4 linked regions of the Caenorhabditis elegans genome follow. The protein of the gene in region 4 interacts with the protein of the main gene of each other region in a pairwise test. Each region holds a gene or a part of one and is shown on either strand. Other genes may lie near its edges. The genes, in order: sec-23, pygl-1, npp-9 and samp-1.

The links.
Region 1: the proteins of samp-1 (region 4) and sec-23 interact in a two-hybrid assay, tested with the Caenorhabditis elegans proteins (one large-scale study listed by BioGRID).
Region 2: the proteins of samp-1 (region 4) and pygl-1 interact in a two-hybrid assay, tested with the Caenorhabditis elegans proteins (one large-scale study listed by BioGRID).
Region 3: the proteins of samp-1 (region 4) and npp-9 interact in a two-hybrid assay, tested with the Caenorhabditis elegans proteins (one large-scale study listed by BioGRID).

The regions. Positions count from the first base shown.
Region 1 is NC_003283.11:20,089,486-20,094,295, forward strand, and holds the start of sec-23 (Protein transport protein SEC23), read left to right. Parts: upstream 1-1,777; 5' UTR 1,778-1,782; coding exon 1,783-1,920; intron 1,921-2,672; coding exon 2,673-2,767; intron 2,768-2,822; coding exon 2,823-2,967; intron 2,968-3,016; coding exon 3,017-3,106; intron 3,107-3,380; coding exon 3,381-3,494; intron 3,495-4,767; exon of another isoform or gene 4,768-4,810. Other genes in the region: dcs-1 (m7GpppX diphosphatase), read right to left, coding at 1-21, 680-825, 873-1,053, 1,141-1,257.
Region 2 is NC_003283.11:3,577,512-3,585,169, reverse strand, and holds pygl-1 (Alpha-1,4 glucan phosphorylase), read right to left. Parts: upstream 6,029-7,658; 5' UTR 6,003-6,028; coding exon 5,949-6,002; intron 3,784-5,948; exon of another isoform or gene 3,773-3,783; coding exon 3,092-3,772; intron 3,040-3,091; exon of another isoform or gene 2,968-3,039; intron 2,851-2,967; exon of another isoform or gene 2,779-2,850; intron 2,717-2,778; coding exon 2,495-2,716; intron 2,439-2,494; coding exon 1,882-2,438; intron 1,576-1,881; coding exon 618-1,575; intron 558-617; coding exon 381-557; 3' UTR 128-380; downstream 1-127.
Region 3 is NC_003281.10:3,400,111-3,405,888, forward strand, and holds npp-9 (Nuclear Pore complex Protein), read right to left. Parts: upstream 4,167-5,778; 5' UTR 4,154-4,166; coding exon 4,136-4,153; intron 4,087-4,135; coding exon 3,994-4,086; intron 3,949-3,993; coding exon 3,523-3,948; intron 3,470-3,522; coding exon 2,972-3,469; intron 2,868-2,971; coding exon 2,407-2,867; intron 2,358-2,406; coding exon 1,460-2,357; intron 1,200-1,459; coding exon 1,056-1,199; intron 998-1,055; coding exon 881-997; 3' UTR 534-880; downstream 1-533. Other genes in the region: Protein clpf-1, read left to right, coding at 30-296, 358-468; F59A2.5 (L antigen family member 3), read left to right, coding at 4,769-4,851, 4,963-5,091, 5,140-5,299; golg-4 (GRIP domain-containing protein), read left to right, coding at 5,466-5,579, 5,624-5,725.
Region 4 is NC_003280.10:11,301,316-11,306,228, reverse strand, and holds samp-1 (Transmembrane protein 201 homolog), read right to left. Parts: upstream 3,339-4,913; coding exon 3,277-3,338; intron 3,224-3,276; coding exon 2,973-3,223; intron 2,922-2,972; coding exon 2,402-2,921; intron 2,356-2,401; coding exon 2,277-2,355; intron 2,228-2,276; coding exon 2,100-2,227; intron 2,048-2,099; coding exon 1,484-2,047; intron 1,021-1,483; coding exon 858-1,020; 3' UTR 543-857; downstream 1-542. Other genes in the region: raga-1 (GTP-binding protein), read right to left, coding at 3,775-3,870, 3,921-4,011, 4,059-4,667, 4,723-4,865. UniProt on the Caenorhabditis elegans protein: Plays a role in nuclear migration in hypodermal cells.

The sequences.
Region 1 (4,810 bases), on a different chromosome or scaffold from region 4:
TTCCAGGCAATTGTACACCCACTGAAACGAAAAATTGATTTTTGAAAAAGAAATTTCGAGCGGAAAATCGCATTTTCTCATTTAAAATTGTGCGATTTTCAGTATTTCTACTAATTTCCGAATTTTTATTCACTTTGAACGCTAAAAACTCTGAAAAACAGAGAAAATCTACGAATTTTTAATGGTTTTTGTCAATTTTTTGCAGAATATTCTCATTTTCTGTCTTGTTTTTCACTTAAAACCAAAAGAAAAATCAAAAAATTCGAAAAAATCGAAGAAAAACGAGTGAAAATCGATAATCGTGATTTTGGGCGCTGCTTAGACTACAAACTACACGTTTTGGGCGCTGCTAATTCAATTTTGGGCGCTGCTTAGACTACAAACTACACGTTTTGGGCGCTGCTAACACTACAAACTACACGTTTTAGGCGCTGCTAATTCAATTTTGGGCGCTGCTAAGACTACAAACTACAAGATTTGGGCGCTGCTAATTCAATTTTGGGCGCTGCTAAGACTACAAACTACAAGATTTGGGCGCTGCTAATTCAATTTTGGGCGCTGCTAAGACTACAAACTACAAGTTTTGGGCGCTGCTAAACTACAAACTACACGTTTTGGGCGCTGCTAAACTCATTTTCTTGGTATTTTCTCCGATTTTCTTCATTTTTTCGCTGCTTACATTGAGATTCAGCTGATATTTCTCAATATACGGCCTTGTAACAGTCTCATAAAGCTCTGGAGTCTCTCGAATCACGAATTTCTCCTCCTGACGGTATTTTGCAATGAGACGATCGTTTATCGGGTAGATTAGTTGAGATTTTAGCACTGAAAATTGAATTAAAAATTAATTTAAGCAAGATTGTGTGGATTACAATTCAATTTGGGATCGATTTCTATATTATAGGACCCGAAAATGTCATTTCTGGAGATTTCTTGAAGCTGTGCAGTCGCCAGAAGCTTCTCGATATCGGATTTTTCTTCGGAAAACGGAGACTTGTTGGCAAGCAGAATGCCTTGAGATCCATCGGGATGGGAGAGCAAAACGAAGAGAGACTGGAAGAAAATATTGATTTTTATGATTTTTAGGTGAAATTTATTGTTTCTTAATGCAAAAAATTCACTTTTTATTGATTTTCTCACCTTATGCGACGAATCAGCGCCTAAAATCTCTTGAAACTTGGCATCCTGCAGCCATTTCTGTGTACTCTCCTCTGCACGCTCCTCTCGCACAAGTTCCTCGTCGGCGATCCGTTTCATACTGAAAAATCGAGATTTTCACTTATTATTCACCAAAAAGATACAGAAATTGCAACGAAAAACGGTAGAAATCGAGAAAACCAACTCAAAAAACATTTTCAAAAGTGTCACGCATCGTAAAACAACACACTGGCCGCGGCCTAGAAAACTCCAATTCTTTTCTCGGCCATCTTCCTCCACGTGTACATTTTCTGTTGGAATTTTGCAGATTTTCACTCGTTTTTCACCATTTTTTCTGATTTTTCTTGCTAAAATATTGAAAATAAGTCGATTTTTATTGATTTTAGTGTAAAAATCATAGTTTTCACCTTGCATATGTCGAAAAAATGACGAAAATTGATTGGGCAACCATAAAAACCCAAAAAACTCGATTTTTCGCTATTAAACGTGATTTTCAGTGTTTTATATTAATAAAATTAAAATTTAATGGTGAAAAACCAGAATTTCACACGTAATCCACGTATTCTCCTCGTTTTTCATCATTTTCCGCGATAAAAAGTTCATTACCAGTTTATTCCAGTAAAAATGGCCACTTGGGAAGAATATTTGGGTGCTCAACAGGCGAACGATGGCGTCCAATTCACGTGGAACATGTGGCCACACAGTCGAGTGGATTCTCAGAAGCTTGTCGTCCCGCTCACCTGCTTTTTCACGCCGCTGAAGGTAAAACTGAGGCGCGGAAACTGGATTTTCTTCGAATTTTTCGTGGAATTATTGAATTTTAAGCATTGAAAATTGGATTTTGTAGCTGCCGAGCAGCGCCAAAAGCTGAGGAAAAGCCTATTTTCAGCAATTTTTCTTCAAATCCATCGAAATTCCATCAATTTTCTCCGAATCTTTGCAAATTTTAGTGGATTGCTTCATTTTTTGCCAGAAATTCGTTATAATCTTCTAAAAATTCAAATTTGGTAGCTGCTCGAGCCGATCGGCAGCTTCGAAACACCGAAGGCATGAATTTCAGCAATTTTTCGATTAAAAACGCGATTTTTTTCTCAATTTCCATCGGAATTTCTGCATTTTTACCTTAAAAAGTCGGTAATCTCTGCAAAAATCGTAAAATTCCGCTGAGAAACGCAAAAAAAAAATTCAATTTTGGGCGCTGCTTAGACTACAAACTACAAGTTTTGGGCGCTGCTAATCCAATTTTGAACGCTGCTAAAACTACAAACTACAAGTTTTGGGCGCTGCTAATTCAATTTTGGGCGCTGCTAAACTACAAACTACACGTTTTGGGCGCTGCTAATCCAATTTTGGGCGCTGCTGAAACTACAAACTACAAGCTTTAGGCGCTGCTAAACTACAAACTACAAGCTTTAGGCGCTGCTAATCCAATTTTGCGGAGTTCAAGCCGATTTTAAGCTGAAATTTCACGATTTCTCATCAAATTTCTCTCAAAAACCAAATTTTTTTTCCAGGAGCGCCCATCAACAGAAGTCGCCCAACCACCACTGGAATATGATCCGGTTTTGTGCCAAAAAGCCAGCTGTAAAGCGATTTTAAACCCACTTTGGTGAGTTTCAGGCCTTTTTTTGCCCGATTTTCACCCCGAAAAATGATGCTTTCAGCGCCGTCGATTATCGCGCCAAAATCTGGATGTGCCCATTCTGCAACAATCGGAATCCGTTCCCGGCTCATTATGCGGCAATTGCCGAGGATAACCGCCCGCCGGAGCTCTATCCACAATTTACAACCATTGAGTACACGCTTCGAGTGAGAAAATGCTGAAAAATCCGAGTTTTAAGCCAAATCTTTATTCCAGAAAGCCACCACAATGCCGCCGATCTTCGTTTTCGTCGTCGACACGTGTATGACTGCAGAGGAGCTGAAATCGCTGAAAGAATGCCTTCAAGTACGGGACAAATTGCAGAAAATTGAGAAAAAAACGGCGGTTTTTTAAAATTTTCGCGGAAAATTGCTCGAAAATTCGTCGGTTTTCCAACTCAAAATTTGTGATTTTTTCACTCAAAAATGGGAATTTCTGCTGAAAAATGGGAATTTCTGCTCATTTTCGCTTGAAAATTCGACTTTTTTAAACATAATAGTGTTATTTTTCATGAAAATTGGCAATTTTTGCCGTAAAATTCAGATTTTTGGGCAAAATTTCCCAATTTTTCCAATTTCAGACTGCTCTCTCGCTGCTCCCAGCCGATGCTCTCGTCGGATTGATCACCTACGGTAGAATGGTCCAGCTGCATGAGCTCAACACTCAGGGAATCTCGAGAAGCTACGTTTTCAAGGTAATAAATTGCAGGGAAAATTGGATTTTTTGGGTTAGAAGCCTGAAAAATGCCGAAAAATGCCAAAAAAAAAACACTAAGTAAATGCAAAATGAATAGCGAAAAATTAGAGAATTATTGAAAATTCTCGGATTTCAGTGAACAATTCGAACAAAACAAGACTATACACTTTTTAATTCAATTTTCCATCCAAAATCTTATAATTCTATTCATTGGTTACTAGTATAGTAATTCAATTAAATAATGCGCTCAATATGCTCAATTGACCAGTTTTCTCGAAAAAGTAGGATTCTTCATTAAAAATAGATGTTAAATTAAATGTTATACTATATATATAGTTGTTCTGAAACGTTAAAGCTCTAAAATGCGGAATAGTTAAAGGTGGTGTCGTCGATTTTTTTCAAATTGCTTTATTTAGACTCAAAATTGTCTGAAAACACCGAATTTCATAATAAAACTTCTTGAAAACTTTTCAAAAAAAGGTTATGACGGCTCAAAAAATGGCCTAAAATTAGTTAAAATCGGAAATTTGACTAACTTATCAATGTCGCAGCGGCTGGAAATTTTTTTTTTTGAAATCATCGTTAAATTTTGAGTTTACAAGTTGATTATCTTGCGTTTTAAACTTGATTAAGCTATTTAAAAATCGATGGACGGCGAGTTTATCGATAAAAAAAATTAAAAATCTCGCCGTACATCGATTTTTAAATACCTTAATCAAGTTTAAAACGCAAGATAATCAACTTGTAAACTCAAAATTTGACGGTGATTTCAAAAAAAAAGTGTTTCCAGCCGCTTGACAAGTCGGTCAAATTTCAAATTTTAACTAATTTTAGGCCATTTTTTGAGCCGCCATAACTTTTTTTTGTCAAGTTTTCAAGAAGTTTCATTATGAAATTCGGTGTTTTCAGACAATTTTGAGTCTAATAAGGCAATAAAAAAAATTCGACTACACCACCTTTACCTATTCCGCAGAGCTGTAACGTTTCAGAACAACTATATATATAGTATAACATTCAATTTAACATTTATTTTTTATGAAGAATCCTACTTTTTCGAGAAAACTGGGTCAATTGAGCATAAGTAGCGCATTATTTAATTGAATTACCATACTACTAACCAATGAATAGAATTATAAGATTTTGGATGGAAAATTGAATTAAAAAGTGTATAGCCTTGTTTTGTTCGAATTTTTCACTGAAATCTGTGAATTTTCAATAATTTTCGACTACACCACCTTTAAGTTAATAGGTTAATTAACGACTATACACCGACTATACACTTTTTTATTCAAACTTCATAAGACATATTGAACA
Region 2 (7,658 bases), on a different chromosome or scaffold from region 4:
TTTGGTATTTTGCTAACGAGCTGGTCGTAGAGGTATCGAAACTTCTTTGAAGATCCTTCAGACAGCCATAATTTTTAATTAAATTTCAGCATTTGCAGATTCGAGTCAAAATTAAAAAAAAAAAGTTGATATTTTCAGTCAATTTATCATAAATATGCAGGGCAGACGTGCAAATAGACAATCTCAAAGTATGGCAACACATTCGGGGGAAGTACGATTATTGGACTGGGGGCAGAGAGGACAAAATCAATTTGATCTTGAAGATTCACAAGAATTATCGGGGGAGGGAAAGGCTTCTATAAAAATGCTATAAACTAAATGGGACGGAGAGGAGGGGAAGTTATGGCGATAATTAATTACAATGTTAGTGCATAGAAGAATTATTCGCTCTTCTCATTCTCATATGGTGCTGGAAGAGAGCTCTCGAACTGGTCGATTCCCCAGATTTCACGAGCGTATTCGGTGATTGTGCGATCTGTTGAGAACTTTCCGGTCGAGGCGATGTTGTAGAGGGCCATGCGAGACCACTTCTCTTGGTCGCGGAATGTAGCGGAGACCTGAAAATAATTTATTTTGATCAGTAAAAATTTGAATTAGTTGAATTTTTTGAGTTTTACCTTATCCTGGGCTTCAATGAAAGCGTCGAAATCGGCGCACACCATGAAACGATCATGATAGCGGAGCATGTTGGAGAGATCCTTGAGCTGATCTGGATCTTCTGGAGTGAACATGCCACCTTCGATTTGCTCGATGATCTGCTTGAGCATTGGGCTCTTGTCGATGAACTCCTGCGAAGAGTATCCGCGCTTTGTGAGCGCCTCAACCTCCTCGACGTTCATTCCGAAGATGAAGATGTTCTCGTCGCCCATCTCCTCGGCCATCTCAACGTTGGCTCCGTCGAGAGTTCCGATTGTGAGAGCTCCGTTCAACATGAACTTCATGTTTCCGGTTCCTGAAGCCTCGGTTCCGGCGGTCGAGATCTGTTCAGAGAGATCAGAAGCTGGAATGATCTTTTCAGCCATCGAGACACGGTAGTTCTCGAGGAAGATGACCTTCAAACGATCACCAACGATGGCATCATTGTTGACTTGTTCGGCGACGGCGGTGATCAAACGAATGATCTGCTTAGCCATATGGTATCCTGGAGCAGCTTTTCCTCCGTACAACACGGTACGCTTAACCATATCGATGTTCGGGTTCTCCTTGATACGATTGTAGAGAGCAATGACGTGGAGAATATTGAGAAGCTGTCTCTTGTACTCGTGGATTCTCTTCACATGCACATCGAACAACGAAGCGGCGTTCACGTTGACATTGTACTCGTCGCTCAAATACTGGGCGACTTGTTGCTTGTTCTCGAGCTTCACACGACGAATCGAATCGAGGAACCCGGCATCGTTGGCGTACTCCTTGAGCTTCTGAAGCTCGTCGAGATTGGTGATCCACGACTCGCCGATCTTCTCGACGATGAGGTCGGCGAGAGATGGGTTGGAGAGAAGAAGCCAGCGGCGTGGTGTGATTCCGTTCGTCTTGTTTTGGAAGCGATCCGGGTAGAACTCATAGAAGTCACGGAAGCTGGAAATGGATGATATTAATTTTTTAAAATGGTAATTTTGCAATTTGCGCGTAAGAAAAATTGGGCGGGCCGGGATTGCAATTTGCGGCGCGCGATTTAGCAACACCGCCGCACGATGTTTTTTCTCTTTCTGTCCGAATTTTCAATGACAAATTATCAATTTTTCGTGATTTTATCGAGTTCACATATCGAAATCTTTCAAAACATCATGCGAAAAACAGCCAAAATAAATTCGTGCGGCGGAGCTGCAAAATGATGCGTCGCCCATTGGTTCTAGCGCCAGGTTTCAGAGCATTTTCGCTTACGTGGAGCTCTTGAGAAGATCCGAGTGAAGAGCCGCGACTCCATTAATGGCATGAGAAGCCACAATGCACAAATGAGCCATATTGATGCGCTTCTCGCCGAACTGATCGGCCTCCTCGACAATCGACATACGACGCATACGGTCGAAATCTCCTGGGAATCTCTGCGAGATGGTGTTCATGAACTTCTGATTGATCTCGTAGATGATCTCCAAATGACGCGGCAACAAATTCTGCATAAGCGACACTGGCCAGCGCTCGAGGGCCTCTGGGAGCAAGGTGTGATTGGTGTAGGCGTAGGTCTTGATGCAAATGTCCCAGGCCTGATCCCAGGTGAGTCCCTCGACGTCGATGAGGAGACGGATCAACTCGGGAATTCCGATCGATGGATGAGTGTCGTTGAGCTGGATGGCCACCTTATCCGGGAAGGTCTCGAAGTTGACACGGACGGCCTCGCGGTTTCCGTAGATGGAGGACTTGAAGCGGCGGATGATGTCCTGGAGGGTGGCGGCGACGAGGAAGTATTGCTGCTTGAGACGGAGCTCCTTTCCGAGGAACATCTGAAAATGTGGGGAAATTGATTTTTTTTTTCTGCCAAAATCTAGCTCAAACATACGTTGTCATTCGGGTAGAGGACACGAGTGATGTTCTCGGACAAGTTACGATCCATCACAGCCTGCACGTAGTCTCCGTCGTTGAAGAACTTGAGGTGGAAATGATTTTCGGCTTTGGCGGACCACAAACGAAGCGTGTTGACGATGTTGTTCTTGTATCCGGGGACTGGTGTGTCGTATGGCATGGCAAACACAACTTGAGTGTCGATCCATTTCGATTTTCCCTGAAATAATATATTTTTTAATGAAAAATAAAAAAAGTAAGCGAAAAAAAGAAAAAAGGAATGGGCCGAACCGGGGATTGAACCCGGGACCTCTCGCACCCAAAGCGAGAATCATACCACTAGACCATTCGGCCACGATTAGATACGTGAAAGCTGGTGATGAAGAGATATCGAATCTTATTATTTCTCGCAATCAGCCAATTATCGATTATTGTGCATCTTGATTGCTTCCAAACACGATTTCCAAACATGGCCGAATGGTCTAGTGGTATGATTCTCGCTTTGGGTGCGAGAGGTCCCGGGTTCAATCCCCAGTTCGGCCCATTCCTTTTTTATTTTTTTAAATTTAATTTTCTCCAAAAAATCAAAACTCACATCCTCCTTCACAACTTTTCCATAAAAGTTGACCGGAAGCATGTACTCTGGACGAGCCTTCTCCCATGGATTTCCGAAGCGAAGCCAATCGTCTGGCTCCTCAATCTGCCATCCGTCACGAATAAGTTGCTTGAAGATTCCGTACTCGTAGCGAAGCCCGTATCCGTAAGCCGGAATACCCAGCGTGGCCATCGAGTCGAGGAAACACGCGGCGAGACGTCCGAGTCCTCCGTTTCCGAGCCCGGCGTCCTCTTCGATCTCCTGAAGCTCCTCAATGTCTAGACCGAGCTGGTAGAGCGCCTCGTCGACGGTCGCCTGAATTCCGAGGTTCATCATTGTGTTCGACAGCGTTCGCCCCATGTAGAACTCCAACGACAGATAGTAGACCCGCTTCGGATCCTTGTCATAGTAGTGTTGTTGAGTTCGTATCCAGCGAGACACGAGATGATCGCGGACAGTGTTGGCGAGCGCGAAGTAGTAGTCGCGATCGGTGGCCACGTTACGATCCTTGATGATCGAGAAGTGAAGGTGGCGATTGAACGCCTTCTTGATGTTCGACACGTTCTCCACTTGAGCGATTCCGCGCACGGAGATCTGCTTGCGACGATCGTGATCGTTGGTGATCATGCTGAACAGCTTCGGACTCGACGATGAGGCAGTCGATTCGGCAACCACGGGCTGCTGAAAATTGGAAATTGGTTTTTTTGGGAGAAAAAATGAGCGGAAAGTGGTGAAAATTATAACTTGTTCGGCTACTGTGATAAGAATGGTGGACAAACAAAAATTTCGAACACTGCAGGCAATGGCGAGTCAGGCCAGAAAACAAAATGTGTTGCGAGATAGTAGTCGACGCAGTACAAAGTCAACAGGAGGGGGGCAGTTCAGTGATCAGTCAACAATCAATATTGATAGCAGGGGCCGGCCCCGTGATTTCCAAGATGAAAGATTTTTGAAAAAAGTATGAAAGCCACGTGGATTTGCTATATTTTTCAAAAAAATCGCAAATTTCCGCAAAAACCTTTAGTTTTGCGAACTTTTCCGTGTCGCAGTTCGCAGAAACTAGCTTTTATTTGATTAACATCATTTATTGGGCATTTATCCAACGTTTTTTCATTGATCTAGGTGCATTTAAGCCGATAAGGGACCAAAAATGCCTCAATCAACGAAATAAGTGATGAAAATATGCAATAAAAGATGATAATCAAATAAAAGTTAGTCTCTGAGCACTGCGACACGGAAAAGCTGGCAAAACTGGGGATCTTAGCTAAAATTAGTAATTTTCTGCGAAGTTTTGATCCTATACAAGCAAGCATTCCTCCTTGAACCAAAAAAAAAATCGAAGAAAAAATATTTTCGCTGATCATTGAGGAGTGAAATGCATCGCTTCAAACTGATCAGGCTAAAACGTCGAATAATATCAGTGTTGACCGTGTCGGCGGTCAGTCAACATGCAGAAAACTACCGATAAACTGATAACGCGTAAGTGATAATAAAACAACAATCAGTAGACGACGACAGGATATTTCGGTGTATTTTTATCACCCGGTCGGCCCAAGAAAATCGAAAAAAAAATTAATGAAAGTGAGGGGCACTTTCTTCTGGGCTACGGAAGACTTTGTTCTTTGCTCACAGCCTTTTTTGTTTAGCCTGAAGCTTGAACTTTAAAGCTTTTCTACTTATGATTTTGTCAAAGAAAAGCATTTAATTGTCGCAAAACCGAATCTTCAAAGATTGTGCTGTCAACTCGAATTAATTAATTAAAATCTTGCGGAAATCTGTTCGAATATGGAAAAGACTATCGGTAGACATGGCCGCTTTGTGTTTGATAAACAATTCTTGTCACTGCCGATTTATCAATTCTTTTTCAACTGAGACGAGTGTGTGCACGTGAATGATCGATGCCATTGGAAATTGAGAAAATTTGAAAAAAAGTTCCGAAAACTTTCGGGGAGCTGCCACGCTTATGTGGAATCGAAAAAAGAGCATAGAGGCCCGAGCCATCTAAAAAAAATGGATGGGGAGAGGATGCGAAGGGGTTTGTGAGCGTGTGTGTAAAATGTGAGGAGAGGAAAACAACTCTGGGAGAAGCAGAGATGTAGAGAAAAATACATGTTGTGTGTGACCCCGACGGACACTGATAGGGAAACAGAGAGAGAGAGAAGCAGGCGGAGATTCAAATTTTTTGTCGAGAAGATGACGAGATTGAAGATTGAAAAATTGAAAAACCAAGAAATCAAGAGATTTTTTATTTTTTTTTTGGCGAGGAAAAATCTGTTTCTAGAAGCTTTAATATTAATTTCCCGACTTTCTTATCATCACCGCCTCCTGTTATGATATCAATGAGAAGACGGGCGGTGCAGCAGAACAACAAAACGGGTATTTTTCCGTTTTTTGAACACTGTATATGTACAGTGAGGACCAATCACCGCACAAACAACGCGACGAGCTGGAGGGGGCAAGGTGAACGATTCTTGAGGCGTATAGGTTCGATAGATTCCAATTTTCACCGTCGCTTATGAAATGAAATGACCAGTGAAACGAGAGCTGGGAGCCGAAGTCCTATAGAAGAGGAAGAGGATGGGCTGAAGAAAAGTGGCGGGAAAAGTAGACTGACATGTGTGTGTGTGTGTGTGTGTGCCGGCGAGAAGCGAAAAGGAGAAGCCTGAAGTGAAGCGTACGTGTTTTTCGGCAAGATTCAGCCGGCCGTTTCCCCATTTTGCACGCACACACTCACTTAAATCCCTGCCTGCTCGCTGTTTTTTTTCTTATGATTTTCTGGCTTATGAAGAGATGAAGCAGATGAAGCAGATGATGAAGAAGAAGCTTGATAGCATGAAATAATCAGCGAATTACTTACCGGGCGCACGTTGTTCCAGTTGAAGAATCCAAAACGAGCAGCAATATCCGACATTTTCGGTGTCACCGGCGGCTACGAAGGTGAACAGTGAAGAATGACTGATAAAAATTTGGAGAAGACAATCAAAAAATTGACGAAAACAAGTGGTTTATTGCACCGAAAATGCAGAAATTGGCGCCATGATTGAAAATTGGAAAACAAAATTTTCGCGCCAACAACACCGAGGGTACGGTAGGCGAGTACGCAAACACCGATGCGCACCGTACTCGCCGTAGCGGATTTGAATTTAAATTTAATTAAAAATAAATAAATAATTTAGTTTTTCTTGCTTGAAAAACAGTTTTTCCTAAAAATTGCAGATTATTTTAAAGAAAATTCATTTAAGATCAAATTTAGAACAAATTATATTGAAAACTTGCTTCAAAGCATAGAAAATTGGCCGTAACAACATAATATAACTGTTGAAAAAAAACTTTTTATCTCAATTTTTTAATGATTTTTTAAAAAGAATTTTGCAAGTATATAAGAAAAGTGGATGAATTAATTTCGAATTCCTGCGCAAATAAATGAAACGTTTTGACTTTTTCCCATTTTCTGTCAAAATTAATTGTTTTTGTTTTGATTTTTCGATTTAAAACACTTAAAACACCGTTCATCTAATTTTCAGATATTTTTTGCGTGAAGGAAAATTGATACCACTAGAAAAAAAATACCACTAGAAAAAAAAATTTGGCGTAAAAATCGATGATTTTACTTTTTTTCCGGAAAAAAAGTCTGAAAATTTGAAAGAAAAAGGTGATTCAAGCCAGAAATCGCTAAATTATCGTCAGAAATTCAAAAATAATTACCTTTTTTCGAAAAAATTGAAAAAAAAAATTATTTCAAATTATTTCATGAAACAACCTCTAGTTCAATAATAAAATATTATTAAAATGTTTAATACAATTAAAAAAATTCAATTTTACTGCTAAAAATTTATTTTTTTAAATAAATTTATATTTTAGATATTTCTGGAACACTACATCCTGAGAATGCGTATTGCGCAGCACAATTGACGCGCAAAATATTTCGTAGCGAAAACTACAGTAATCCTTCGAATGACTACTGTAGCGCTTGTGTCGATTTACGGGCTCGATTTTCGAAATGATTTTATTTTCGAACAGTGACAGTGATGACACAATCAAACCCGTAAATCGACACAAGCATTACAGTAGTCATTTAAAGAGTTACTGTAGTTTTCGCTACGAGATATTTTGCGCGTCAAATGTGTTGCGCAATACGCATTCTCAGGATTTAGTGTGTCCGTAATAAAATCTGAAGAAAAACTGCTAAAAAATGTCTTTTTTAATTAACAACATGTTGTTTAGTATTTTCTGGTATACTTAGTTATGCTGAACAGTTTTATGAAATAAAAAAGAATGACTCCATACCATTTTACCGTACTTTTGAATTTTTGAATATAACAGCTTTTGGTTAAGTTTTGAAATTTTTTAAAATAAACTTCCGTACAAGCTAGAGTATGTTGTTTGGTATTTTCTGGTATATTTGATTATGCTGAACAGTTTTATGAAATAAAAAATAATCGCTTCGGTAATTTAGACGCACATTTCTTAATTGAATTCGCATGGTTTAGAGTGTGATGAGGTAATTTTTCTGTGGAAAAATTTCCCTTATTTTTTGTAGATCAAGTCGCTATGGAACATCTTGACA
Region 3 (5,778 bases), on a different chromosome or scaffold from region 4:
CTTGTTAAGAAAAAACTTTTTTTTTGCAGTATTTCTACGGAACCCGTGCCAACAATCTCTACCCATTCACATTTGACGTCAGCTTCGATGACGTCACTCTTTGTAAAATCGGAGCCGAGCAACTGCCCGATTCATGTCTACCATTCGGAATGGAAGTTGAAAATCATGAGACAAAGCTGGTTATCATGGAGCCCAGTGCCGACATTAAACATCATTTGTTCGCGTTCTCGCGGAGCACGAAAGCCGACGAAAATGTGCTGAAATCGCCGGTTTTTGGATTTTGTCTTGTCACGGAGGTTGGTATTTCGTCGAGTTTTTGGGTCTCGAACGGAAATTTCAATTTTATCCAAATTTCAGGTTGATTTGGAGAAGCGAACAATGTCAATTCTCTGCCCACAGCGTACAATTCCATCGAAAGTTCTCGTCTTCTCAGATATCACCCATCTTGATGATCAAATAAAACGATAATTTATTTCTTTTTTTTCCTAATCCCTATTTATTTGTTTCCCGCCCTCAAAATAAATCTCATTCTTCAATGCATTCACAATTTATTGGATTGTCACCAGTGGGGAAAAATCGATGCCGGGACAATGTGAACAATATAGTTAAGTTTTAAAGACAAAAATTATGAATGATAGTGTGTGGGGGGTACTTATGAGAACAATGGGATTTTGAGAGAGATGGGGGGGAAATAAGGAAATTATTTTTTTAAAAACCTTACCAGACAAATATAAACTACACTTAAAGGACTATAGATGACAGCAGATGGGGATGAATAAAACTAGGTTCATAAATAAAATTGGTGGTGGGGAATACTAACACAGAGTGCTGGGTGGGGAGGAATAACAATAATAAAATAATTTAAATAATCAGCAGAGGATTACATCTTCGATTGAGCATCCTGAACAGCCGTCTTGAATGCTCCGGCGGTCGCCTCGTCCTTGAATTTGGCGGTGAAGATGGCTGGATCAGCGTTGGAGGCGTCTTCTGAGAAGTCCTGAAAAATAAGGAATTTATAGTACATTTTTATATAAAAAGAAATTAAAAATTGCTACCTGGCACATAAATGTGAGCACATTTGGCAAGTTTGGCTTCGGACTGAGCTTCATCGACTTTTCGATACGGAAATTGGCACAGAGCTTATGGACTTGCTCACGACGCATCACGATTCGATATTTGTTGTCATTGCTTTTCAGGAGCTGAAATAATAAATTATTTTTCTCAAATTTAGCCTCTATGAGTCAAAAATCAGTTGTTTTCTTAATAGTTTTCATTAAAATTTAGTGAAAAAACATAGAAAATACTTGCAAAACAGTTGAAAAGTGCGCAAAACTAGCACTTTTCTTAACTGTTTCAACTGAAATAAGTTATTTTCTACGTTTTATCACTAAATTTTAATGAAAACTATCAAAAGAACATGCCAAGCTGGCTCATTTTGATATAAAATCCTAAATCTGACCTTAATATCTCCGAGTCCACGTTCCTTATTCTCCTTGAGATCCGAATAGTACTTATAAAGCTTGCATCTGGCGGAGAACATGACCTCCTCGTCCTCTTCACCAGTTTTCACCTCAACCAAATCCGGAAGAGGAATAACTGGCTTAAACTCGACTTCTGGCTCATACTCCCCATCTCCATCCTCATTCGTCTCATCACCATCGTGTGAAGTTGCAGAAGTCGTGTTCAACGTGGTGTTCTTGCTCCCGAAAATGCTTGCCTTCTTCTGAGCAGCAAGTTCTTCTTGGGCCTTCTTGACATTTGCTGCGTCGAAAATGGAGCCAGATTTGGCAGAGTTGGCTGAAAGGGCAGCGAATGTTGCACCTCCAGACGTGAATCCACTACCGAACACGGATTTTGGCGTCTCGGACTGTTTATTTTCTTCTTGTTTAGCTGGTGCAGTCGTTGATGGAGTCTGTTGCTTTCCGAATGAGAAAGTTGGCTTTGGGAAGGCACTTTCAGAATTCTTGGCGAACATAAACGACGGAGTAGTAGTTGAAGAAGCTGTAGATTCAGTCTTGGAGAGTCCACCTCCGAACAATGAATTTCCTGGAGTCGTAGAGGTTGCCGGAGAAGCAGTTGAAGCTGCAGGATTGTTGAAATTGAACGATGGGGTAGTTGCATTGACAGCGGCAGCTGGCTTGTTGAATGAGAAAGTTGGAGTATTAGCAGCACCTCCACCGAAAACGCTTGTTCCCTTTGGTGTTCCACCACCGAAAATGCTACTGCTAGTGCTTGGAGATCCGCTGAGTGATCCACCGAACTGAGATGTTTGAGCAAGAGGTTCCTTGGCTGGAGCAGATGCTCCGAATCCGAATGTCACTTTTGGAGTTCCTGGGGCAGGCTGGAGGATCGAAGGTCTGCAAATTTAAATTTTTAATTTTAAGATAACTCAAATAGAATATTTACTTAGAGAATATATTTTTCTCTTTGACAGATCCGTCTTTCGATGTCCCACAACAGGCACATTCAATCTCGTCAGCTTTGCAAGTAACATAGCATCCAGGGCATTCCCAAGATCCTGGTTTTGGCTTGAACTGATCTCCAAATCCAGTCTCTTCCGGTTTGTTGTTTGATGGAATCACAACTTCTTGCTTGACTTCCTTCTTCACCTCAGCCGCCGGCTTGATTTCCTTGTCGATGGTCTTTCCAGCGTTGCTCGATGATTTTGCCTCAGCGACAGCCTTCTCGAACAAAGTCTTAAACTCTCCAGCGATATCGACGTTAGCGAAACGAGCGGAAAGCTTCACGTGAGCTGGCTGATCTTCGGAAAAGTCCTCGCAGAACCATGTGTAGGCCTTCTCGTTGGATTTCATTTGTTGAATGGTCATCGAGCCGAGAATTGGGAAATTGGCACAGACTTTGAGAACCTGTAATTTATTTTAATGCTAAATTAAGGTATTTAAATTTAAATTAAGATCTTTCTGTTGAGGAAAACGCCGAAAAATGTGAAAAAAGCTGTAATTGGAATAACCTGAATATTCCAACACAATTCTTCGGTTCCATTCTCAATATTTGAAGGGAGTGTCTCCTCCGAAATGGTCACCTGGTCTCGTCGCATAACAACTCTCCACGACTTCTTGTCCTTGTTGTAGAGAACCTTCAGCTCGCCGGTTCCTCGCTCCTTCCATTCCTTCGTCTCGTTGGCATAAATGTAGAGTTTTGAACGATTGCAGAACATGGTTTGCTCTCCTTCTTCTCCAGTTTTCACCTCGACAAGATCTGGCAGTGGAATGACTGGCTTGAACTCGCCCTCTGGCTCGTAATCCTCATCATGTTCTTCGTCTTCATCATCTTTAGCTGCTGGAACCACGACTGGGGAAGCAGTTTCAGGCTTTTTACCGAAGATTGAAGTAGCTGGATTGGTCCCGCCGAATGAGAATCCGGTGGTGGCTGGCTTTGGAACAACTGCAGGCGTTGGAGTAGAGAATGTTGGCTTAGCAGGTGGAATTACAACTTCTGGTGGAGATGTCTGAAAAATATTGAATTTTTAATTGCTGGAACTAAAACCCGAAAATTTGTTACCTTTGGTGCAATAACTCCAGAAGCTGGAACTGTCGATTTTGCTTGTGCTGTAGTGGCGACCAGTGGCTGTGTAACGGGAATAGCTGGCTTCGCAGCATTGAGCAAATTAGCCATAACTTGGCTTTGGGCCTGTGCTTGGGCTTGAGCTTGAGCGTGAGCATGAGCTTGAGCTTGTGCTGCCTGCACATGAGCCATCTCCATTTGTCGCTGAAGAATCAACATTTGCTGTTGTTGCTGAAGCTGCTGTGGAGGAATCATTGAGCCGAGAGGATTCGCATCACGAGCAAGAAGAGTGTGTATAATTTGATGAAGTCTCTCGAGCTCTTTTCCGTGATTAGTGCTCAAATCGGACAACTGCTTCTGAAACCGATCCTCGGATCGACGAATATCATCGCGAAGCTGGGTGACGCCGGTCTGGTGCTCAATCTGTGAAAAATAAGTATTAAATTGAGTTTTTCATGAATCGCATACCTTCAACGAGTCCATGCTTTTGATAAGCGAGTCAAACTGCATTGTCATCAACTGCTGCACATCCACGACGCTGGCGACAATGCGCCCCATATTCTGAAATACCGTGAATCATGTTGAGCAACATTCGAAAAGATTCACTTACCGGCTTCTGATCGCTCATTGCGAAAGGAGAGCTGAAATATGAAAAATATCAGGTAAACAATTCAAGAGACTTCAAGCTAAAGCGAGATAAAAAGACGAATACTGCGGTCTCTTTAGTTGAAAATTAGCAGCAATACTTCAAAGAATTCGCGCCAGGGATTTGAATTTCGAAATTTCGCGCCAACGCTTTCCCTGCTTAAAATAGGGCTTTCCTACCTTTAAAACTAGTCTTTTCTGTATAAAATATGCTTTTAAACGCACAAAAAATGTTTTCCAGCTATTTTTCGTAAAAATACGGAAAAACTATGGCGAAACAGTCTAAAATAAATAGAAATTGGGCGCCAAGCTTCGCAAATTTCGAAAAAAGTTCAAATTCCTGCGCCGTGGCGAGACCCGTTGCGTAAATCGACACGCGCGCCTTTAACCATGAGTTGGCAATTATTCATGGAAAATACCGGTTTTTCAGGCGAAAAACAGGATTTTTGATATTTTCCGTCGTTTTTTATGGCTTTTTCGGTTTTTGAAATGTCAATTTTGCCTGGAATAGCATTTATTATTCACTTTTCTCAGCGAATTTATTGATTTTTCATCAGAAACTTTCAAAATTGTGTTTTTTAGTGATTACAACAACAAAATGGAAGTAGACACAAGCTCATCGTCATCTTCAGAGGACGAATGTGACCCAAGCTCTCCGAGCACGGCATATATCCACTCAGCGTGAGTTTTTCGCTAAAAAACACAAAAAACAAACTGTTTTTTAAATGTTTTTGTTTCAAAATTAACATTTTCTGAAGTTCTAACAGCAGTTTCTAATCCGATTAATTCCAGAAGCGTACGATTATCCGTCGGAACAGAAGAAGCGGCTCGAACCGTGGCAGATGTCATAAAAATCGATAAAGAGCCGAGAAGAAGTGGTGCTCGACGGGAAGTGTGCAGCGAAGGCGAATTTGTAGTCATGTAATAGTTTTTCTATTCGAATAACTAAATAAATAAGTTAATTTTCAGAAAAATCGAATCAAAAGATCCGAAATCATTGTCAAAATCCATTGCCAACGCTGTTGATATGATCGATTTGTCCGTGAAAACTATCAAACTTTGTGAAAATCTGGGAAAATCGAAGGAAAACGGATTGAAAAGAAAACTCTCAAACGGATCTCAGGCTTAATTTGATTAAAATTTGTTATTTTTTCTGTTTTTGTTTTTTGAAATGAATTTTTTTCAACTTTTCATGATTTTTTCTTCTTAAAAATATGGTTTTTAACCTTTAAAATACTTTTTTTTTCGATTTTATTGCAAATTCCCCACTAAAAAATCGATTTTTTCAGGTTTAAATGTTCAAAAACCTGAAAAACCGGCTGGATAATGAAGCCGGAAAGCTTAAACAATCAGCTCAGCAGTATGGAGAACAACTCGCCGCTCAAGTTGGACAATATCGGCAGGCGATGGTAAAAATCCACTGAAAACTGAGAAAAAATCGATAAAATTGCAGAATGAGCAGCCTGCTGGCAGTGATGCATCCGCGTCGATTTCTAAAAGATTCACCGGAGAATCAGGAGAAACTAAAGCTGAAAATCCAGCAAATACCTCTATTGTGAGAGTTTTAACATGAAAAATTCTCGAAAAATTGAATTTATCGTCGAAAAA
Region 4 (4,913 bases):
GAAGGGAGGATCACAAGTGAATGAAATATGAGAAGAAAAGGGAGGAAAATATGAGATACGGAAGAGAAAAGGAACAAATGACGGTGTGGATAATTGTGAGAAGATGAATACGAGTAACCGTAATTGTGGCAGAAGATGGTAAAAGTCGAACTGGCGTCGTCTGAGCGGCAGCAAAATAATTAACCACTACGCCACCGGTGGTTTTTAAGATTTTTTTATTTGATTAGCAGTAAATATAGAAGTGTTTTTTAAGTTTTGTGAAAAACCTTACAATTTGCCAATTTCAAAGTTTTCCCAATTTTGGGCATAGAAAACTGGTATTCAAAAGAGACATCTACTAAAGTGAGGTCAGGCGGACAAACAGAGGACACGAAGAGTGTGTGAATTGGCGAGACGCAGAGATTCGACCACTCCCAGACAGTGTGCAATCCGGGAGAAGCGCAGGAGTGGAGCAATTGTGTGGTGCGCAGCAGGCGGGATGGGGAAGCTGCCTTGTTTGTTGATGTTGTTGCAATCCATTTCTCATCTTTTGCGCGTTCTTTTTTCTCGGGAATTATTCATTTTGTCAATAGACTTGTACTGGAGAGAGATGTATATGTAGATGGGTTTCATGTAGTAGAAATTGAAGTAGTAAGGTATTTAACAACGAAGTGAGATCATCAGAGAGGGTGAAAAGGGGCATATTTGAAAGAATAAATTCAACAAAACGAGCTAGACACACATCAAATAGTAAAAGAGCACTGGGAACCCAAATAACTTGAAACTAATATCACACAGGATCAAACAACAAAAATGTGAATAGGGCATGATGAGGAGAGAGATGAAACATAGAAAACAACATATATAATAAGGTCGAATCAATTGCGGGTGAAAAGAACGTAGAACAGTCCGATCTGCATGATGAGTACGATAAAAACCAGCGCGAAGAGGATGCCGATGACGCGACACTGCCACGCGCCGCTGACCGTTGAGTGTCCGTCTTGTTGCGAGACCGATGTGAACACTGAACCGGGTCGAGTGCTGTAAATAAATAAAATTGATGGGAATCTTGAAGGTTAATAGAAGGAAAAACGTAGAAAAACCAAACAGAATTTAGTCAATCTTTTCAATAAATGCTGGTTCTTGCAAAATATTATTGGCTCCAAAATACCGTAACCACGGTCTCGAAACGAAAATCTAATCTTCAAATTTTAAATCTAAATTGAATAATAACGGAATTTTCAATTCTTTTTAAATTAATTTTAGTTTTCATCTGAGCTTACGTGACCTGTGACTTGAAAGGTCTAACCAAAATTCCACATATTATTTATCAAAGTCCAACGTCCAATCAGTTCTAAGTTTTTAAAAGTCTAATATACAATTATCCTGCACAAATGCTATCACACTATTGCTTCTCTAATTATCATTCTAAACAAAAAATAACTGATTGTTCAAGATTAAAGGGTTAAGTTTTAATAAATATTTCAGTTTCAACAAATCTTACTGTGCTTCCGGTGCCATGTAGTGGCTCCTGTCGTATTGTGAAGCTACCATAGATCGTGGTGGCCCGAACAATGATCTAGTCGGTGTGTGATTCTGTTGCTGAGCCATTTGCCGGTGTTGTCTTGAGAATATACTTGGAGAATCGACAGATCTCGTATCAAGATTCAAATTTGCCACGGAGGGTGTAAGCTGTTGAGCAGTCATTCTTTCATTGATATTTCTGGATAAAAGTCCTGGCTTGAAATGACTGGAACGAGTTGATTGAGCAACCGATTGAGCCGCCATCGATTCACTATCATCCCAATCCATTGATTCCACGTGATTGTTAGGTTTAGTCTGATAACTTTGCATATTTTCCTTGTTCTCCCGACTTCTCATTGCAGACCACACTGGACCATTTGTTATTTCACGGAGCAATGGTGGAGAGGAATTCATTGCTGGAGGGCTTGCTGATGGCGTATGTGGAGATCTTCGAAGAATCGTGTGGTCATGATCGAGAAGTGAAGCGTTTCGACTGTTTTGTGAAGAGCATTGAGAGATCGGAGTTGACGCAACAGAGAAGGCACTGAAAATTGAAAAAGTTGAAGGAATTTTTAAAAATAAAATATTTATTTAACCTTGAAACAATCTTATTCGGTCGTTTCTTATGCAGCTTTTTCCTTGGAAGAAGTGTCACTGCCATTGAAAGGATCGTTGAAAACGAAGCACATGCACCTCTGACAAGAGCGACATCTTGTGATAAATTCTGAAAAAAAGAGGTGTAAAACTTGCAAAGGGTATATTTTGAAACTCACATCACTTGAAGTCAAAACTGTTAGCATTGCGAGGATCAGAAGGATGGGCAGCAGCAGGTCGGGAAGAGTAACTCGGCATCTGAAATTAAAATTACAGTTTTTTTGTATTGTAGAATGAAACTTACTTATTATTAAATGCAGCAATCAAATGTGTAGTGAAGATCAGAAAATTGATGACGAAGGAATATTTATAAACTTCTGGCAGAATATCTTGAAGAGCCTTTGGCAAATTGATCAGCGATGCTCCTGCATCTTGCTGTAAGAAGTCGATATTCGCCAAAAAGAGAATAATTGAAGAGATGAGGCATCCAAAATGAAGAGCTTCACATGTACTTCCACCGGCGAAGAAGAATCTCCGCGATCGTTTCTGATTGTTCATCACTTCTCGTAGAGTAGATCCAATTGCATGTTTCAGCTTATATTTCACTTTCAGAAGATATGAGTATTTCTTCTTATCCTCCTCCAGCTTTCCATGAACTTGAATTGTACATCTCGGACACAGCTGGTACATTCTTTCCAGTTTGTATCGATAATCCTCGAGCTCTTCGTTCCATCGATCCTCATCAATGGGCTCGAATTCTGCGACCTTGTTCATTATGATCTCCTGGCCGAGGTTGCATTCCGAGCAGAGACCGTTAGAAGCTTCTGGAATTTTAATTTAACTCATAAATTATAAAAAAAGGATATTAAACTCACTAGGACTCATGTTCACCCCGCCAAATCGATCCAAAAATGTGCTCGGCTTCTCTGACTGCATTTTCCCCGGCTCACAATATCTCTTGGGTGTAGTCCACGCTTGTCCAGGAATCCGACGGTTATAGTCTCCGTCTTCGGTGAATCCGTTGTATTGTTCGCATGACGGGCAGGTGAAGCTATTCCTTTGCTGGTATTCGACCTTCGTGCTTTTGCGGCAAAACCAGCACTCCACCGATGTCTTTATCCGAGGTCTGAAAATATGTATAATTATTAATTTTTTGCAAATTAAGAAGAAAAACATTACCTTATAGCCTTATAAAGGATCGGAACTGAAGCGATCACACCGACCGCAGCAGCCACCTCCATCTGAATTTATATTGAAATTTTATACTTTTTTAAACATAGATTAAAATAGGCAGACTTGTTGATAACAAATTACTAATTAAACGAGAAAATATCAGTTAAATTCCAAATGAAAATATAGCACAATTCATATACAAATACAGAACAAGAACACGAACGATAGGTTTTTTCGATGATGACTATCGCAAAGAATCGGATTTGGATGGTACGGGGAGAATTAAACAAAAAAAACGAAAAACTTCGCAAAAGCACTGGCGAAACGGAAAATCTAAGCGGTGAATTACGAAATATAGTGAAAAATATAGAGTTGAACAATTTTGCAGTTGGATTTAAATAAATCAGTTTAGCATTATAATACAGCAACATGGGATATGGGATGGTAACTAAACGAAAATAACTGGAATGCGGGGCAAGAACTCGGTGAAATATTCAAATTCGTCTAGCTTTTCGTCTCGATCGCCTCGAACACCTTCCTCGCGTTCTTCACGTTCATTGTGATCATTGGAGCCGATGCGTTGCCGTCGGGTATCACGATCTGAACAAAATAAAATAGTGTTTTAAAATACATTTTATTTGAGATTTTACCATAACATAAGTGTTCTGGGTGAACGAGTCGATGAATGCGGAGAATTGACTGTTTCGGACTTGAATCGAATCCAACTTGGACCCCATTTTTCTGAAAGGAAGATGAAGCTTGAATTAATCTGTTTCGATGTAACTTACGTGCATGAAAGCTTGAATTGCTTTATGATGTTTGAAACCTTCTCGAATCGATGTGGATCCTTATGCTCTCGGAGAACAGCATGCGCAATAACCAGGAACGTCGCTCTCTCGAATAGAATAACTTCATCGGCATCCAAAATAGCTCCGAACTTCTTCAGCTTGTCCTCCATGGTTCCGACGTTTGGCACCAGATGATAGACTATCGCGGACCACGCTTTGTAGAGTGTCTCATCCCAAATACTGCTCTTGAAGCATTGACAAACAGCGTTCGTCCGTTCATTCTGAAGTGGAGTCGCTGCAAGTTCACTGTATCGCAGTACATCTGCTTCACGACGTTTGAACGTCTCTTCACGTTTGTCCTCCTCGATCAGATCCATTTTGTGAATGAGACAGAAGACTTGAGCATTCGGTGAATTTTGGAGAAGAGCTTCGAGACAAGACTGGTAATATCTGAGATCTTTCTCGAACTCTCGGCTTTCCACGTCGAATACGTATATGAGCACTTGAACATTCTTGAAGATCTGATCCTTTTGCGAGACGAGGAAGTTCTCCATGAATGATTCCTGACCACCACAATCCCACAAGTGAAGAACCATGTTTCCGAGGAACCTGGAAAAGGAAAAATTGTGTTCTTTTGATAATTGATCCAGAATTGATCCCTTACTTGACATGAGCATGCTCAACTTCGATTGTTGGCCCGAGACGCGAACAATCCCTGGCGATGTAGTTGGCAAATATGATCGAACGCATCGAAGTCTTGCCGGATCCACTTTTGCCCATCAGAAGAACTTTTCGTTTTGAAGACATCTTTTCTGAAAATAAATTATGTTTTTTTCTGAAGATCTTTGAAACAAA